Linked DNA regions of Callithrix jacchus. The protein of the gene in region 2 purifies or fractionates together with the protein of the main gene of each other region. This does not show direct contact. Links are inferred from orthologs where the notes say so. Each region holds a gene or a part of one and is shown on either strand. Other genes may lie near its edges.

Region 1 (4,608 bases), on a different chromosome or scaffold from region 2:
TAAAAATTAGCTGGGCATGGTGGTAGGCACCTGTAATTCCAGCTACTCAGGAGGCTGAGAGAGAAGAATGGCTTGAACCTAGGAGGTGGAGGCTGCAGTGAGCTGAGATGGCACCATTGCACCCCAGCCTGGGTGACGAGCAAAACTCCGTCTCAAAAAATAAAGAAGACTACTTGGGAGCTTCCTGCAGTAGTCCAGACCAGAGATGATGGTAGTTTGGGAAAAGTAGGTAAAAATGAAGATGTAGAAAGCTGGACAGACTGGAGATTTTTAGGTTAAAATGACAGAACCCATGTGACCAGTCCAGCTAGTCCAATGGTGATTTGGATCTAGTTTAAAGCAATGATTCCCCCAAGCCAGAGTCTTTGGCCCTAATTAAATACATTTATAGGGGGTAGGAGCAGAACTCTGAAAACTTTTACCTGAAGGTAGGGCAGAGGACATGCTAAAAGAAGAGTACAAAGGGTGACCCACCCTCTCCCTCCCCCAGATTCCCAGCTTATATAACTGGATGGATGATGGTATCATTTAGTGAGCTATTCCTATCTCACTGGATAGATGCAGATGATCCCTGACTTACAATGGTTTGACTTAACATGGTTTTTCAACTTTATAATCGGGCGAAGGTGATGGGTTTTTGAGGACCTACACAACCATTCTGCTTTTCACTATCAGCACAGCAATAAATGACATGAGGTATCCAACATTTTATAATATAGGTTTATGTAAGATGATTTTGCCCAAGTGTAGGCTAATGTAAGTGTTCTGGGCATGTGTAAAGAAAGTAGGATAGGCTAAGCTACGATATTAGGTAAATCAGGTGTAGTAAATGCATTTTCACCTTCTGATACTTTCAGCGTACAGTGGGTTTATTGGAAGGTAGCTCCATCGTTAAGTCGAGGAGCATCTGCACAACTTAGGTGGGCTAAGATCCTGAGTTCAGGGTTGGACAAGCTGAGTTTCAGGGGCTTTGATTTTATTTTTGTTTATTATTATCATTATTATTTTGAGACAGAGTCTCGCTCTGTCACCCAGGCTGGAGTGCAGTGGCGCGATCTTGGCTCACTGAAACCTTCACCGCCCTGGTTCAAGCAATGCCCCTGCCTCAGCCTCCCTAGTGGCTGGGATTACAGGCACATGCCACCACGCCCAGCTAATTTTTTTGTACTTTTAGTAGAGATGGGGTTTCACCATGTTGGCCAGACTGGTCTCGGACTTCTGACCTCAGGTGATCCACCCACCTCGGCCTCTAAAGTGCTGGGATTACAGGTGTGAGCCACTGCACCCAGTCCAGGGGGCTGGATTTTAAATAGGCAGTTGGACGTATTAACCTGGAACTTAAAGGGCATATCTGGACTGGGGGTAAAATATTGAGAATCACTAGCATATAGACAATTGTAGCTATGGGCTTAGAAGAAATTGAGCAGAAAATTGAGAGAAGATGGCCTTTGAGGAAATACCAGCAATGGATAACAAAGTAGAGGAGGGTGAGTCTGCAAAAGAGAGGTCAGAGTCAAACCAGGAGTGAGGCATCCCAGAAGACATGGGAAGAGTGCTTTCTGTCAAGGAGACCATGGTCAGCAACGTCAAACGCTGCTGAGACATCAAGTAAGACAAGGATTGAAAATTATCAAGTTGAAGGATAGGCTTCAGTGCGATGATGGGGCAGAAATCAGACTGCAGTAGGTTGAGGGGTGAGTAGGTGGTAAGCAAATGGAAGACAACAGACAACTCTATCAAATTTCCTGCTGTAAAGCGGTAAGGGAAAAGGTGACAGCTGTAGGGGTGGGGGAAGGGTTTGTTTTAAGATAGAGAAGCTTGATTATGTTAAGAAGGAGCAGGTGAATATACAGCTAGAGTCTGAAGTATTGGAAGGATTAGCCTTAAAAGGAGGCTACAGGGGAAAGGAAGCAAAAGAAGCCAAGCTAAATGACCTTTCTTTTAGGTCCCTTCTGACTCTAGGATCTCATGACCTACAAGTTCCTTTAGATAGGGCATTTGCATATACGCATAAATCTACGCAAACTTATTCAAATATTCTGGCATAAACGGATCAGTCAAGCACATCTTTCGCCCCCCAGTGACGCAGTTAATGTCCTCAGTTTTATGACCAGTGTAATCTCTGGGCAGGACTCATGCCTTGACAGCTTTTTAGCTCAAGGCAAACTGCAATACAGCACTCACCAGCTCTATCCCTCCTAGCCAAACCCATCCTACCCAGGAATCCTAAAGGCTAAATGAGGAAGTAAATGTAAAACCCTGAAACTACAGCATATCCTGCTGCATTCGAAGCGACCGTCATTCATAAAAACAAAACGTGACACCCCAAATCCATCCTCGCGCCAAGCTAAAGCCAATTCCTGCCTGACCCGACAGTTGACAGGTCCCCCAATGGCCGGGCTTTAACACTAAAAGTCATTGGCACCCCCTTCCTCTTTCCCAACAACCTTTTATTTGTGAAGAGCCAAACACCAGTTCCTGATTATCTTTCCCACACCCCTCGTCCCGAATGCAGCAGACGTGTTCCCCGCAGTTACTCCGGCGCCCCCTAAAAAGCCCTCGCAATGGGGTGCGGAGAGACCCCCAGAGCCCGTCAGAAGAGGCTTCGGCGACCGCGACCCTGGGGCTGTGTGGAGGACGAGGGAAACAAGCTCCAAGGGATGGGAAGGGAGGATGAAGGGAGGCGCAGCAGACGCGGGTAATGAGGGGGTCATCTCCCCTCGAGGGGGGTGGAGTTGTTGAGGAGGGCTAATCCCCTTCTACCGCTCCCCTGCTCCCCTCAAGCCCTGCCCTGGCCGCTCGCCCCATTGCTAGAATTCACACTCCCTCCCCTGGGGCTGCCCGGACCCCGGAGTGCCCGCGAGCCCGGCGCCCCTGCCTCGAGCCTGGGCTCCCTGACCGGCACTCACCCGGCCCGCCATCTTCGCCAACACGTCCGGCTCGGCGGCTGCAGCCCAGCACTCAGCAGAACCCGCCCCCGCCGCGCGCGCGTCCCCGCCGCCCGCCCTCGCGCAGGCGCGCACGTCCCCGGCCGCGTCCCCGGCGTCCTCGCTCCACAGGGCGCGCGCGGGCTGGGTGGCCGCCGGGGGCGCGCGGGGCGGGCAGAGCGGCGGCGCCATTTTGGCTGGAGCTTCCTGCTTCCTGTCGGCTGCAGGGACAGTTTTCGGCGGGTGACTTTGTTTTCAGCTTGGACATCCGTCCGCCGCGCGGTCGAAGGCCGCTCCCCTGAGTCTCATCCCTCCTGGCCGTTCGCGCCGGAATTTGTCGCAAGGGCTTTGATGTTTCCATTCACTTATCCCTTTGCCAGGTGCTGTTCGCCCCCGAATGACCATTTTGCTCTGTGCTTCCAGACTCACTTAAACGTGGTCTGGCCGGTGAGAGCGCCCGGTGCGGTCCCTGGCTTCCCCCGGAAACGATCAGCTCCGTGGAGTTGGTTCTGGATTCAAATTCTCCATGAATTCAGACTTTTCTTTGTAGGCGTACTTGTTTTCAACCTGGGATTTTCATCGTTGGCAGTTTTATGTGTAACCTGGAAAACTCAATATATTTTTCAGATTTGAAAGTGAATTGTGATTGTTTTTATACATTATTTTATTTTTATTATTAAGTATTTGCCTTTATAAATAAAAGGCAATGAGTATCTTCCACAACTTTTTCCCCAGCTTTATTTCGTTTTAGAAAATATATATGGTAGAATTTGAATAAAATATGCCCTAAATTCAGCTTTGTTGAACCTTGATGTTGCCACCATACCATTTCTCCACTGGAATCTCGGAGTATCTGATTTCGAGCACCCTGGGAGGAGAAAGATTCTGCCAAATGGATTCCCTAGTGCCTTTATTGACCCCACTTAAATTTCTCGCTTCATATTTGCACAAGACAATAGAGAATTATAGGATTTGTTAGCTTTCATTTCTCACAGTTAAATAGAATAAATCGGATTTTTCCCCCAACATGAGGAAAGAAGGGAAATGAGAAGCTGAGCATGCGTAGTGATTTAAATTTGAGAACTATTAAAATCAGAGAGTGATCTGAAGATGAACTAGGGACAGAAGAAAAATTCACGCCAATTTCATTAAGTCTCACACTGAACTTGAGGACCAGGGTGTTTCATTGATCAAATCAGATGTTAGTTAAATCTTGTGTGGATCAGGAAAGGTAGGAAACTAGTGAGTTCTGATCTACTAACTTGCAGAAGCTGTAAAAACAAGTGTTAGAATGGCTTGGGAAATCCAAAGGGTTGGGTTATTTTCTTTGTCCCTATCTGCCCTCACCTGTATAGCTTCATCTCTCTGAGCCCAGTTTCCTTATTTGCTTTTGTTTGTTTTTGAGAAGGAGTCGTGCTCTGTCACCCAGGCTGGAGTACAGTGGTGTGATCTCGGTTCACTGCAACCTCCACCTCCTGGGTTCCAGCAATTCTCCTGCCTCAGCCTCCCAAGTGGCTGGTAGTACAGGCACCTGCCACCACGCCCAGCTAAATTTAGTATTTCTAGTAGAGACAGGGTTTTGCCCTGTTGTCCAGGTTGGTCTCAAACTCCTGACCTCAGATGATCCACTGCCTCGGCCTCCCAAAGTTCTGGGATTACAGAGGTGAGCCACCACACTCTG
Region 2 (3,980 bases):
TAGTAGAGACGGGGTTTCACTGTGTTGGCCAGGATGGTATCGATCTCCTGATCTCGTAATCTGCCTGCCTTGGCCTCCCAAAGTGCTGGGATTACAGGTGTCAGCCACCTCACCAGGCCACTTGATTCTTTGCTTTTAGAAACAGGGTCTTGCTCTGTCATCCAGGCTAAAGTGCAAAGGCACAATCAAAGTTCACTGTAGCCTTGAACTCCTGGGCTAAGGGATCCTCTGGCCTCAGCCTCCTGAGTAGCTGGGACTAAAGGTATAAACCACCATGCCTGGCTGAGCTTGGTTCTCTTGAAGCAGTCATGCTGTGAAGATTGAAACTCTTTATGCATGCAATCATTAAATATTTAAACATAATAAACCACAGGACAAGCTCTGGCTTACCCCGCTTGTCATTAAGCCATGAGACCCCATGGCTGGCAAAGGAACTAAGGTGTGTTTATTTTTTCCCACTGCCCCATCCTAAGCCTGGGCCCCTTGGGGTACCTGCTGCTGTGCCTGCTGCTCCTCAATGAAATGAGAATTGGCTCGCTGGAGCTCTCTGTCCAGGCGCCCGTATTTATCTGTTGTTCCAGTGCTCCAGTTCTGGCTGCCACTGTCTCCCAGCAGTGCCTGTGTGAGCAGGACAACCGGAGGAGTCAGGAGAAACAAACGGTTACTATCTCTGAACAAGTGAAGCATCGAGAGTGATATAAAGGGTTTTCACATTTCTTATCATCTATTTTCCCCTGGGCCAGGCTTTTATCTAGTGGTGTAGTCTGGTGCCTGTGTGGTACAATTTAAGGAATTCCAGAAGGGCCCTCTCTGTGTTCAAGCTCTCCCAACAGGCCTCACAATGGGCTTTGTCCCCTTAAAGTGCAAATAAATGCCTGCTAAATCAGCAAACGCCCATCTAGATACTGTGTTATAACTGAAAAGCACTCAATCTTTTGTCAAAGAGCTCTTCCTGGCACCTGTGGAACTTCAGCAACCCATAGGTTCCAGTCAACCTGATTCCAAAGATCTAAAGTACTTTTTTAAGAAAAGTGTGACCCAGGGAAGTTTTGGGGTTTTTGGTGGGGGGAAAAGGAGAGGTCCCTCAAACTACAAGCAGGTAAGCCATAGTCCTTCACACACAAAAGGCTTAAGAACCATCAATGTCTGTAAAGTTTAACCCATGAATAGAATCCAGGGTCCTTCAGGCTTTCCAGATGACAACTGGGGTTCCTTCACCAGGCAGGTGTGACCACAAGGAATCCCTGACCTTGGCAACCTAGGCAAGGGCTGCCCTAAAGTCAGTCTTCCACCACGGCTCCCAGACAACAGGGCTGGGTTTCTGAAGTACGAATTCAGGGAAGTCTGCAGCCATAAATGGGTAAGGTTGGGTATGTCTTCCTCACATGAAGAGGCCAGGCCGGAATGTGAGAGCTCAGTCTCCACAGTTGGTTCTGACCAGATTCCCACAAGCCTTTCTGACAGGTCAAAGTAACTGCTCACACCAGCCGTGCGCCAAGAGCCAGAAGACGCCAGCAACTAAGACTTTTTTTCTTGTTGAGTTGCCATTTCCTACTAGGTAATTAAAAAAAAAATCTCTGGCACTATTAAAAGCCTGACTGTTTACTTGGTTCTATCTGAAACCCTTCTAACAGCCTCATGATCTTCCTTCATAGTGGCACTGACTTATTCCAGACTGCAAGGGGTGAGCTCCATCAAATGGCCAGACTTCAGGGACAATCAGGGCAGCTCGGGATGCAGTGTGCTATGTTCTGAGGTTGTTATTAGCAGAGTTTCTAAGAGGCTCAGTTATTAGAAGCTCTTCTTACAAGAGCTTCCAGTGGCCCAGGGCAGTCCAGTCAAGAGGCTAGATGGTGACTGTCTCTGGTGTAAAGCAGATCCAAGGGTTTTTGTGGGTGGCTCTGCCCTGACCTGGTCTTAGGGCTGTCAACACTGAAAAGATCCTGCTCATTCTGATCCAGACTCTAAGGACCTCTATGGAAGACATGAGGAACTAGTGACAATTTTTTTAGGGTCAGAAAAAGGCTGTAATGCCTAAGGACAGTGAACTGGGACATCACCAGGGCCTTATGTGCTCCTGAGGTCACAGGGCTATTTTGCCTACATTTTCCATGGTCTACACTTAGGCAGAGCTAAGTATAGGGCAAATCATCCACATTTTATTGTAAAGGTGCTTAAAGTTCATTGGTCTGACCCCAGAGGTCTAATAGGAAAGAGATTGAGAGAGGAGCCAAGCGCTGGGAGATGCACCTGTGCGTGGGTGCCAAAGCAGGGTTGGTGGAGGGAGCAGCACAATACCTGGTGCCTGGCATGACACAGCAAGGCCCAGGCCTGCAGGAGGCTTAGAAAGCCCTGGCCTTGCCATTCCTTAAACATTTGCAACTTGACATTTCGCTCATGGCCTAAAACCAAATTCCAGGCCACACTTGGACAGGCAATACATATGCCCATGTTATCCACATTAGCCCATACTAATGTGGATAGTAGCCTATACTATCTAGAGAATAAAACATTCAAGTTAGAGTGGCAGCATAGGTGTTACCAACTTCACTGCCACAACTACTTCAGGTACTTCCACTTCCTATAAGGTCAAGTGCAAATGAGAAGAGAACTCCAAAACTAGCCAACTTGAGGCCATTCACTAGCTTCTTTCAAGAGAGGGAGCCAGACGGAATGAACCAGCTAGTGGCTCTTCCTAGCTGTACTGATCAAAAAGAAAGCAAAGGAGGCAAATAAGATTAAAAAGCCAAAAACAAAACAATGACTTGAAAAATGGAATGCAAGAAAAGCAAACAGAAAAATTAAGTGAGGTGATATTTATAGAACCCTCCCCCTTCTTCAAGCTTTCATATTTGTTTTCAAAATGAAGTGGCTTGACAAACACCCACAGGTATAAAGTAAGGATTTATGTTATAAAGTACTGATTGCTAGTTAAGTAAAAATAGCAAGATTTCTCAAGAGCCTACTATACGGACAATTCGTAACTTTCTGGAATCATAATTCATTTAAAACAAACTATCATTTTTCATGATACTATTTACTGTTTACTCCTAAGAAAAATGGATATCCACAGAATTTTAAAAAACTACTTCCATAAAAAAATCACCTAACAGTTTAGCAACAGGCAAAAAACATTCTATCCCACCAAAAAAGTCTAAATCAAATTTCAATCTAAATTAAAGTCCAAATTCTAGATGACCATTCTACATTTTTTTAAAGAACTATATTTTAACAATTAGAAAGCAGTTTCTATAAATATGCCAAAGTATGTAATTTTAAAAAACTACTTAAAGAGAAATTTAAGACACAAGTTTAAGGTTCCTCTAATGTCTTTACATCAAATGTCAATCCATAGATGTCTATTGTGTTCCATGGGTAGGCAATGTAGTAACTACTAGAGAGCTCAAAAAAAAAACCCAACAACTAAAAACCAAGACACAGATCTCTCCTCACTCTCAAGGGGCCTGGGGCCCAGCAGAGAGAAAGACAGTAAGTAATTATAGCCCTTAAAAGAGCCTAGCACACAGAACGTGCTCAACAGGTGCAGAATAAACACATGAAAACAGTAAAAGTACTCTGACAAGTGCCATAGTAAGGGTAGGCAAAAGGTGCTATGGGAGCCCACAGGAAAGAATCAGAAGGTGAGAGAGGGGAGGGAAACGCTGACAGGGTACAGGGACAGCTGCCTGGACTGTCACAAAACCTCCCATGGTCACACCAGGGCCTGCATGCAGAGGTCTTCCTCTTGATTACATGATCCATGGATGGTCAGCATTTTTAAATTTCAAATATCTAACTGTATACTTTCTCTCACTGATAATTATATTCTGGTGTTTTCTCACCTGTCTATTTTTTCTTTCAGCTAATGCCTGCACGGAAGAAGCTGACATCTGATCTTTCATGTCCTAATGAGAAAGAAGATAGGAAAACAAATGAAACACATCCTTAAACAAAATTAGAGTTAACATTTCATACAACAG
Region 3 (4,643 bases), on a different chromosome or scaffold from region 2:
CCCACTCCCTCAACAACCAACCCACTCTCAGGATAACACTAATCCAATCCATGAGGACAGAGTCCTCATGGTCTAATTATTTCTTACAAGTCCTACCTCTTAATAAAATTAAAATGGCAAATAAATTTCAACATAAGTTTTAGAGAGACATTCAAACTATAGTAATAATGAATTCAATTTTCTATTTTTGCTCTGTCACCCAGGCTGGAGTGCAGTGGTGGCATCTTGGCTCACTGCAACCACTAGCTTCAGGGCCCAGGCGATCCTCCCACGTCAGACTCCCCAGGAGCTGGGACTACAGGCACCCACCACCAAGCCGGGCTAACTATTGTATTTTTTGTTGAGATGGGGTTTCACCATGTTGCCCAGGCTGGTCTCAAAATTCCTCAACACATCAGTATTCCTGCCTCAGCTTCCCAAAGGGCTGGGATTACAGGTGTGAGCCACCACTCCTCGACTGCAATCTACTTTTCTTTTTTTTTACTCTTTTCTTCAGTTCACTGCAACTCTGTCTCCTGAGTTCAAGTGATTCTCCTGCCTCAGTCTCCCGAGTAGCTGGGCCTACAGGCAGGTGACACCATGCACAGCTAATTTTTGTATTTTTAGTACAGATAAGGTTTCACTATGTTGGCCAGGCTGGTCCTGAACTTCTGACCTCAAGTGATCTGCCTGCCTTGGCTTCCCCAAATGCTGGGATTACTGGTGTGAGCCACTGCACCCAGCCTGCAGCCCACTTTTCAATCACATAAATCAGATCCCACCATGGTTCTACACAATACATTTTTTTTTCTTTTTTTTTTTTTTTTTCCAGGACGTGGCCTCTCTCTCTCTCCCAGGCTGGAGTGCAATGACACAATCTTGGCTCACTGCCACCTCCGCCTCCTGGGTTCAAGTGATTCTCCCCCCATCAACCTCTGGAGTAGCTGGGATTACAGGCAACTGCCATCATGTCTGGCTAATTTTTCTATTTTTAGTAAAGATGGGGTTTCACCATGTTGGCCAGGCTGGTCTCGAACTCCTGACCTCAAGTGATCCACCCGTCTCAGCCTCCCAAAGAGCTGAGATTACAGTCATGAGCTGGCACGTCCAGCCTGCACAATGCCTTTTAACCACATCCCATCATATTTAGGAAAAGTCTTTCACCATGGACCACAGGCCCTACATGATCTGGTCCTGCCTACCTCTCTCCCTTGCTCACCCCATTCCCAAGCACATGGAACCTCTTGCTCTTCTCTGAACACACCAAGCTCACTTCTGCTTAAGGGCCTTTGCTGTGTTATTCTCCCCTTCCGACAGTCACTTCTTCCAGATTTCTGGTTTACTCTCTCACTTCGTTCAAGTCTCTGTTCAAATGCCATTTCCCCAGAGAGGACTTTCACAACCACCCTATTTAAATCTGCAAGGGAAGGCAGATCACTTGAGGTCAGGAGTTAGAGACCAGCCTGGCCAACACAGTGACACCCTGTCTCCACAAAAAACACACACACACACAAATTAGCCAGGGGTGGTGGCATGCTTGTAATCCCAGCTATTCTGGAGGTTGAAGCAGGAGAATCACTTGAATCTGGAAAGTGGAGGTTGCAGTGAGCTATCGTGCCACTGCACTCTAGCCTGGGTGACAGAGTGAGACCCTCTCTCAAAAAATAAATAAATAATAACAACATAAAACTGAAGTCCCACCCCTATTCCTTTATCCTGATTTATTTTCCTGTATACTTTAACACTGCCTCTTAATAATTACATATTGTTTATCACCTACCTGCCAGAATGGGGATGTGCATGTCTTTTTCACTGTAATTTGCAATACTAACCAGCACCTAGAACAGTGCCTGGCACAAAGCAGCTTCATAATAAATATATGTTAAACACGTGAATTTCATTCTCACCACAGTCATTCAATTCCTATGACCTTGATTAATTCGTTGAGCAAACAACCAAACTCTGACCCTTAAGTAAAAGCAGTAAAACTTCAAACTTCAAAGTCTTATCCTTGACATCAAGTTCTATATGTTCGGAGGCCAAGAACTACAGTAGGTCTTCCTAAGGATTTAGGGCCGAAAAACGCTAGCTCCTCCAGACAGAACTCGTAGCAACCTGCTTCATGAAATTAAGGGGTAGTAAATAGTCTCAGCGGTATAAAATGTTCAAAACAAGGCCACATCTAAATGTCACAATTGGGTTTTAAATGTCCCCTTGTTGGTAAGTAACTGGTATTTACCAACACCCCCAAATTATGATTCCTTTGGGTTTTTAACCCTTTTTTTGTGCCATAGATCCTCTGACAGTCTAGTGAAAACTAGACCTGTCTTGAAACTAATACTTTCAAATGCATAAAAGAAACAAAAAACAGCTACGAAAGAAACCCATTCTACCACAAGACCGCAGATACAAAAGCCCCACTGCTCTGCTCTGTTTGCCGCAGTGAAAAAAGAGACGAGAAAATGTGGAAGGCCATGGAAGGATCCCAGGGAACTGAACCCCGACGTCCGTCCCGGGGCAACGTCCCCAGTTCACTCTCAGTGGCAGCAGGGAGACCTGGGGCTGGAACCCAGCCAGTCGTAGGGGGCGTGTCCGCGGACGCGGAGCGAGGAGACGCGGGCCCGGGGCTGGGAGGAAGGTGGGGGAATCTTCCTGCCGAAGCGCGCGGGGCCGAGCTCCCCACGGCGTGACCCCTCCACGGCGTGACCCCCCCGCCCCGGCCTCACCGGTCCCCGCCGTCCCCAGCAGCCGCTCGGGCACCCCTTGCAGGTCTTCATGGAGGCCGCGGAAGATCTCGTGCAGCTTCTCGAAATGCTCCGAGGAGGCGGCGGAGGTGGCCATGGCGCAGGCCGCGCTCGAACAGCGGCCACTGAGATTCGGGGCGCTGTGCCTTCTCCTAGCCCGGCGGTCAGCCGCCCAGCCCCGAGGCCATCACGGCGACCGCCGCGCCACAGCCGCCCAGGACGAGGTTCTTCCGGGGCCACGGCAGGGTCCTCCGGAGCCGGAACGCCCACCCTCTCCAGCCCGTGATTGCGGGAGCGCCGGCGTGAAAGCCTGACAGGAAGTCAGGCAACTGCGCGCCCCAGGCGACTCCTGAGGCAGCGGTGCCGCGCCGGGGCGAGCAGCAGTCGCGGAGTCCGAGAAGTGCCCGGTCCAGGGTGGGCAAAGGCGCCGCTGCGAAAGAGCCCTAGGGGACCTGCGAGACGGGCAGCTCGGCCGCCTTCTTCCCGGGTCCCCTCGGCGGGTGAGGGGGCGGGCGCTGCAGTGCACGCCGGGGGATGTAGTTTGGCTCCGAGAGCATCCCGTCCCGGGGTCGCGCGTTGTCCCGGCCGCGAGTTTCAGCTCTCGCCGCGGCAGTGGACTCCGGCCCGGTAGCGAGGTGGTTTGGTGTGTGTTTGTGTCTAGACGTCGTCCTCACTGTCATCGCGCTTTGCTTTGGCATCCTGACCCGACTTCATCATTTCGCGTTTTGACTGAATGTTAGCTTTTCAGCCCTGGAAAGATAGCTGGGCCGGGGGCTGTGCTTGCCATCGGGAGGTGGAGCACTTTCCTTGGGAGGCCCAGCGGCTCCCCACGCTTTCAGAAGTGGAACCCAGCCGGGTGAGTGGCTCGCGCCTGTAATCCCAGCACTTTGGAAGGCCGAGGTGGGAAGATTGTTTGAACCCAAGAGTTCGAGACCAGCCTGGGCACAATAGTGAAAGGTCTACCAGAAACCCAAAATAGGAGTCGGGCGTGGTGGCGCGCACTTTTGGCCCCAGCTACCCCAGAGGCTGAAGCAGAAGGATCACTTGAGCCCAGAAGGTTGTCTGCAGAAATCCCACCACTGCACTCCAGCTTGGGAGGCAGAGGGAGACCTTGTCTCCAAAAAACAAAAATTCAAAACAGAAACCCGGTTAGGATGAAATACTAACACAGAGATGACCAAGTCTGAGGTTACCGTCAATGTACTGTGTAAGTCCCACAACACAATGCTAGGACTTGTCACCGTACAGAAGTAGGGGGCACATGCAAAATACTCTAGCTGTCAGGCCTGCCTAGTGCACTAGGTTGCCTCGTGCACTTTTTCACAACAGGTGTTTGTCCTGCATAGGCACTGTGAGAGATCTGGGCATGTTGGTGAATAAAACATTTATTCTCTGCTCTTGGGGAATTGATAACCTGGTGTGGAAGGTGGACCTGGCTTCATTAGGTCCCATCTGCCACTGTGTCACGTGTTAACAATTACAAGGTCCTTTCCTGCACTCTCTGGGTATAAATTCCTATCTTAAGGTCGGGAGTGGTGGCTCACGCCTATAATCCCAGCAATTTGGGAGGCCAAGGTGGGCGAATCATTTGAGGTCAGGAGTTTGAGACCAGCCTGGCCAACATGATGAAACCCGTCTCTGCTAATGCAAAAATTAGCCGACCGTGGTGGTGAGCACCTGTAATCCCAGTGACTCGGGACGCTGAGGCAAGAGAATCGCCTGAACCCTGGAGACGGAGGTTGCCATGAGCTAAAGTTCGGGCCACTGCACTCCAGCCTGGGCAACAGAGCAAGACCCTATCTCAAAAAGATTAAATTCCTATTTTCACCGATTTCAGTTTGCTCAAGGTGTCTATTCTCAAATGTTTGCTTGAGAGCTCAATATTAAACTGCTTACAAATATTAAAAGATACATGAATGC
Region 4 (4,591 bases), about 8.3 Mb from region 2:
ATATTCAAGATGGGAGGCTGGTCACAGAAAAACCTAGGCATGATTAGAAGACTGGGACTTTTCAGTCCCACCTGCTAGCCTCCTGGGAAGGGAGGCAGCCTCAAGGTTGAACTGATTTCCAATGGCCAATGATGTAATCGATCATGTCTACTAATGAAGACTCCATAAAACCCAAAAAGGACAGGGTTCAGAGGGCTTCCTGATAACTGAACAAGTAGAGGGTTCCTGGATGGTGGCACACCTGGAGAGGGCATGGAAGCTCTGTACCCCCTGCCCTATGCACCTCTTCAATCTGGCTGTTGATCTCTATTTTTTTGTAATATCCTTTATAATAAACCAGTAAATAAAGTGTTTCTCTGAATTCTGTGAGCCACTCTAGCAAATAAATTGAAGACAAGGAATTTGGGGAACTCTGATTTATAGCCAGTTACTGGAAGCACAGGTAAAAACACCTGGAACTTGTGATGGGCACTCGAGGTGCAGAGGAATGTTGCAAGATTAAGCCCTCAACCTGCAGAATCTGATGCTATCTCTAGGTATAAAGTACCAATTGAATTAGAGGACACCCAGCTGGAGAACCTGATGCAGAATTGCCTACTTGCTCATGAGGAGAAATCTTTTTGGGGTCAGAGGAGTATTCTCTGTTGAGAGAGACTAGGAGAAATTCAGTTTTTCTTTCATCAAAACAACTGGATTAAACAAAGCTAGTTTTCTTTACTACAGAATGACTCAAATCCTCTTACATGCTAAATGCATTGTGACTTTCTAGGAAAATGCTTGCATATGCAACATATTAAAATTTTTTTTAAGAAAAAGTTGTTCTATGCAAATAATGAATTTTCAGTATTTTGGACTAGATGGTAGATGAATACCCAGCAATTAAGGATAGCTCAGAAATACTGAATGTTTTACTATATGCTAGGCACTGTGCTCAGTGATACACATGCATTTTCTTTTAGTCTTTATGATGCTTCTTTGAAGTAGGCACTAAGAAACTAGTAGAAAACTAAAGTTTAGTAACGATAATGTTAGTCACTACACTCATTGAAACGGCAGAGATACAGGCCTAAATCAATCAATGGCAATCCATTATCAGTTTTAATTATTTGTTCAATTAGTTGCCCATCAGGTTTACAGAATTCTGTTCTAGAGAGACTCATTTTCCGGTAACAACCCAATAGTCCTGTTTCCTTGCCCACAAGAAGCAGCATTTAGACCTTTAAATTACGTAAAATTAGACATCAGAAAGAATAACCCCAAAGTCTGGTTTCCTAAACCAAATAAAAGTAATATTTTAAGTTAGCTACTTGTCAAAACAAATGGACACAAACACTCTTCTTTGATAAGAAATGCTTCCAAATCAGAAATTATTCACTTGTAACAAAAAACAAACTCTTGCTGCCTAACAGCTCTTGAGTTCTTGGTTCCACAGTATTTGTCACATACATCTGGCCCTTTTATTCCTCACACTTTGATTTCAGAATAATTCATTTATGCAGAAATGTAACAGAATGCATGGAAAAAACAGATGACAAAGCAAATTACTGAAGAACTTGTGCTTTTAACTATATCTGTATTTAGATTTTAACCCCATGCATAGAGGCTGCCTCAACACCCCAAAGCAAACAACAGGCAGACTTACATAATGCGTTTATGAGACATATAGTAAAACTACAATCTTAAGGATGGGCAAACCTCATATTCAGGTCTCTCAATCCCAAGAAACCATGTCCAACAGATAGAAAACCCATCCGCAAAGCAGTAGACAGATTAATTAGCTACCTTGATGAAATCTGATGTTATTTGCAACTACTGATTATTTATTAGTATCTGATGATACGGGTATCCAACAACTAGTAGAAGTAAATAATGCTCAGAAAGGAGACTAGGATAGAGTCTGCTTAAGATTTCCCCTACAAAAAACATACGTGAATTCAGGTGTTGGTGACTAGGAATACATGTAAATAAGAGAGCCATCATGTACTTCCACATTGAGGACAGACCACCACTATACAATTCACTTACACAGTCACATCACCGTATGCTTCTTATGCATCAGCATATACTTAAACGTTTATGTATGAATTTTTGTAAGCAGTACGTTATTTAGTCAATAGCTTTGAATCTGGGCAGAGGCTCTCCTTTTCCCAGCCTCCATTCCCTTTTTAACTCCTCTTCCTTGTCTGTCATCAGCGTCTTGCTCGATGCAGTTTCATAGAAATAAAGTAACTTGGATGGACACAGACCAAAGATGTTATTAGCAAAACCTGTCAAGTGTAACGATTCACCCCCACCTTCTGGTCATTACAAACACAGCAGGGTTGGCGCTCTTTCTCCCGAGCCCTTTAAATACACAATTCGAAGCAGCTCTGCTCACCCCCCAACACCCAATCTGTCGCACCAGGCCACGTCCCTCGAAGTATCTGCTCCTAACGTTGGCCCTTCCTGCCCCATGGTACTCCCTGGCATTCCTGACTGCCTCCCACTCTTAACAAACCTTCCCCATCCATGGCACTGTTCTCTCCCCATCGCCCCAGAGTACCCCTCAATTCCAATTCTTCTCCCCTCAACTACTCCCCGTCCGCACACCCCTGTCCTCGTCTTCCTTCCTCACGGTACCCCCGGCCCCAGCTTTTTCCCACTCTGGGGTCCCTTCCTAGATCCCCGAGGCCGGCTAACCAGCCCAACTCGGACGTCGAGGGGCGGCGAGGCAGGGGCGTCATCTTCATTTCCTCCCTCCTCACAGCAGCCCCTCCGGCTGGGAACAGGCCAGCGCCAGTACCTGAGGCTCCCGGGGAACTCCCGGCAGCTCTCCCGGGCGGGCGGTGCTGGACGGGCGGGGGAAGGAGTGGGAAGCTGAGGTAAAAAGCTGGGAGTGGGGGGACGGTGGGTGCGGATCCGGCGTCGGCCGCAGCTCCGCAGCAGCGCCTCCGCTCACCGAGCCGATCGGCGCTCGGCGGCCTGGCGCCAGGCGGAGGGGGCGGGTCCAGGGCGCGGAGATAGTCGAGGAAGTCGATTCCGCCGGGCGCTCTTCACCTGGAAGAGCCCTGACCCTCAAGGATTTTAGATGCAGCTCCTCCCTGTGCTTTAGGGGATGAGTGACCACTGGTTCTCCAGGTTCCGGTCGGGATCCGGCGTGCGTGGAGGGCGTTTATGGGAGGGATGGGAAACTCAGAACTGCTCGGGTCGGGGTGCTGGCTGGGGTGATAAGGCGTTTACAAAGAAGGTAGTGCTTTGTGCCAGATCCGTCCCTCGGGCTGACTACGTTGGGTGGCAAGAGGAGGGTGGCTTGCGGCTCGAGGACCTGCTTCTGTTTCGTCTGGGGCCTTTTCTGAAGAAAGAAGTTCTGTTTGATCCCCTGTTTGCAGAATTAGAGCTGGACTTGGAAAGAGATTTTAATGGTTCCTAGGTCAGCCTCCTTTCTTTAGGTAGGAGAAATATCTGGTTCAGAGAGGAGATTGACTTAAAGTTACACAGCTAGTTTAGATAGATAAGGGACGGCGGCTCCGTGTTCTTTTCCCGGTATCCGTTAGTTGTAACCTGAAAGCCTTCAGGTTTCAGGGAAATCGCCCTTGCCTGGCCATTCCGCTGCTCTGCCCATGCTTCCCTCACTCCTTCCTCCTCCGCCCAGTTTGGTATCATATTTAGATCTCCAAGCCCACAGATGCTGGCTACCAAAAACAATTCCTAATTTTGTTTTTCCGTTCTCTTATTTATTATCCATTCCTCCCACGCCCCAGCTGGAGTATTTTACTCATTCAATCATATATCCACTATACATCTTTTAACATTAATACAGTATTTATGGGTCCTTTGTTGATATAGTATTTTAACTGTCTGAAATACCGTGCCAGGCTCTCTCCAAAGACAAAAATAAGGGCGTGTTCAGAAACAAAAGTAGACCAGAAAACAGCAGAAGATCTGAGGACACTAAAGGAAGAAATAGACACCTTCATAAAAAAGTTGCTCTTCGTTTGATGTGTAATTTTATGCAAACATGCACTAACGAATTTGAAAGATGCCATGACTAGGGCAATGATACTCAATGCTAAGTGATTCACTTGGAGTTGAATCACCTGGAAAGCTTTTAAAACCACTGTGGGTGGGGGGGCGGTGGGGAACTACTGGAAAACTTTTTAAATCACCTGGAAAGCTTTTTAAACTACTCAGGTGCCCACGTGCTACCTAGATTCTGATTTAAATGGTCTAAGACTTAGAAACAGCTGTCGGGTTTTCAGTTGAAGGTTCTAAAAAACTTGATGTTAAACTCAGGTGTCTGTGTTTATTGCTCCAGAGCCCGGCTGACTTGGACTGAAACGGCCCACCTAGAATAGAAGCCTCTCAAGGTTTGCATCTCTGTCTGGGCATGACAGTGGGACTACTCCTAGTGACCCAGACATTATTTTTTCTTCTACAGATTTTTTTTTTGAGACAAGTTCTCACTTTTTCCCCTAGGCTGGAGTGCAGTGACATGATCATAGCTCACCACAGCTCTGAACTCCTGGGCTAACGTGATCTTGTCTGTGCCTCCCAAGTAGCTGGGATTACAGCCATGAGCAGCTGTGCCCAGCACTTACAGTTGATTTTATAT

The links. Proteins that work in one complex are often made in the same cells at the same time.
Region 1: the proteins of STX6 (region 2) and NSF purify together in Homo sapiens (affinity purification with mass spectrometry; 3 studies listed by BioGRID and IntAct, with this or other methods). This does not show direct contact. The link is inferred for Callithrix jacchus from reciprocal best matches to the Homo sapiens genes STX6 and NSF.
Region 3: the proteins of STX6 (region 2) and VTI1B purify together in Homo sapiens (affinity purification with mass spectrometry; 3 studies listed by BioGRID and IntAct, counting the BioPlex papers as one, with this or other methods). This does not show direct contact. The link is inferred for Callithrix jacchus from reciprocal best matches to the Homo sapiens genes STX6 and VTI1B.
Region 4: the proteins of STX6 (region 2) and VAMP4 purify together in Homo sapiens (co-immunoprecipitation; 5 studies listed by BioGRID and IntAct, counting the BioPlex papers as one, with this or other methods). This does not show direct contact. The link is inferred for Callithrix jacchus from reciprocal best matches to the Homo sapiens genes STX6 and VAMP4.

Annotation. Positions count from the first base shown.
Region 1 is NC_133506.1:86,367,360-86,371,967, forward strand, and holds the start of NSF (vesicle-fusing ATPase), read right to left. Parts: upstream 2,964-4,608; 5' UTR 2,922-2,963; coding exon 2,910-2,921; intron 1-2,909.
Region 2 is NC_133519.1:39,280,874-39,284,853, forward strand, and holds part of STX6 (syntaxin-6), read right to left. Parts: intron 3,906-3,980; coding exon 3,843-3,905; intron 619-3,842; coding exon 493-618; intron 1-492. UniProt on the Homo sapiens protein: SNARE promoting movement of transport vesicles to target membranes. Targets endosomes to the trans-Golgi network, and may therefore function in retrograde trafficking.
Region 3 is NC_133509.1:102,671,404-102,676,046, forward strand, and holds the start of VTI1B (vesicle transport through interaction with t-SNAREs homolog 1B), read right to left. Parts: upstream 2,964-4,643; 5' UTR 2,821-2,963; coding exon 2,706-2,820; intron 1-2,705. UniProt on the Homo sapiens protein: V-SNARE that mediates vesicle transport pathways through interactions with t-SNAREs on the target membrane. These interactions are proposed to mediate aspects of the specificity of vesicle trafficking and to promote fusion of the lipid bilayers.
Region 4 is NC_133519.1:30,968,010-30,972,600, reverse strand, and holds the start of VAMP4 (vesicle-associated membrane protein 4), read right to left. Parts: upstream 2,964-4,591; 5' UTR 2,783-2,963; intron 1-2,782. UniProt on the Homo sapiens protein: Involved in the pathway that functions to remove an inhibitor (probably synaptotagmin-4) of calcium-triggered exocytosis during the maturation of secretory granules.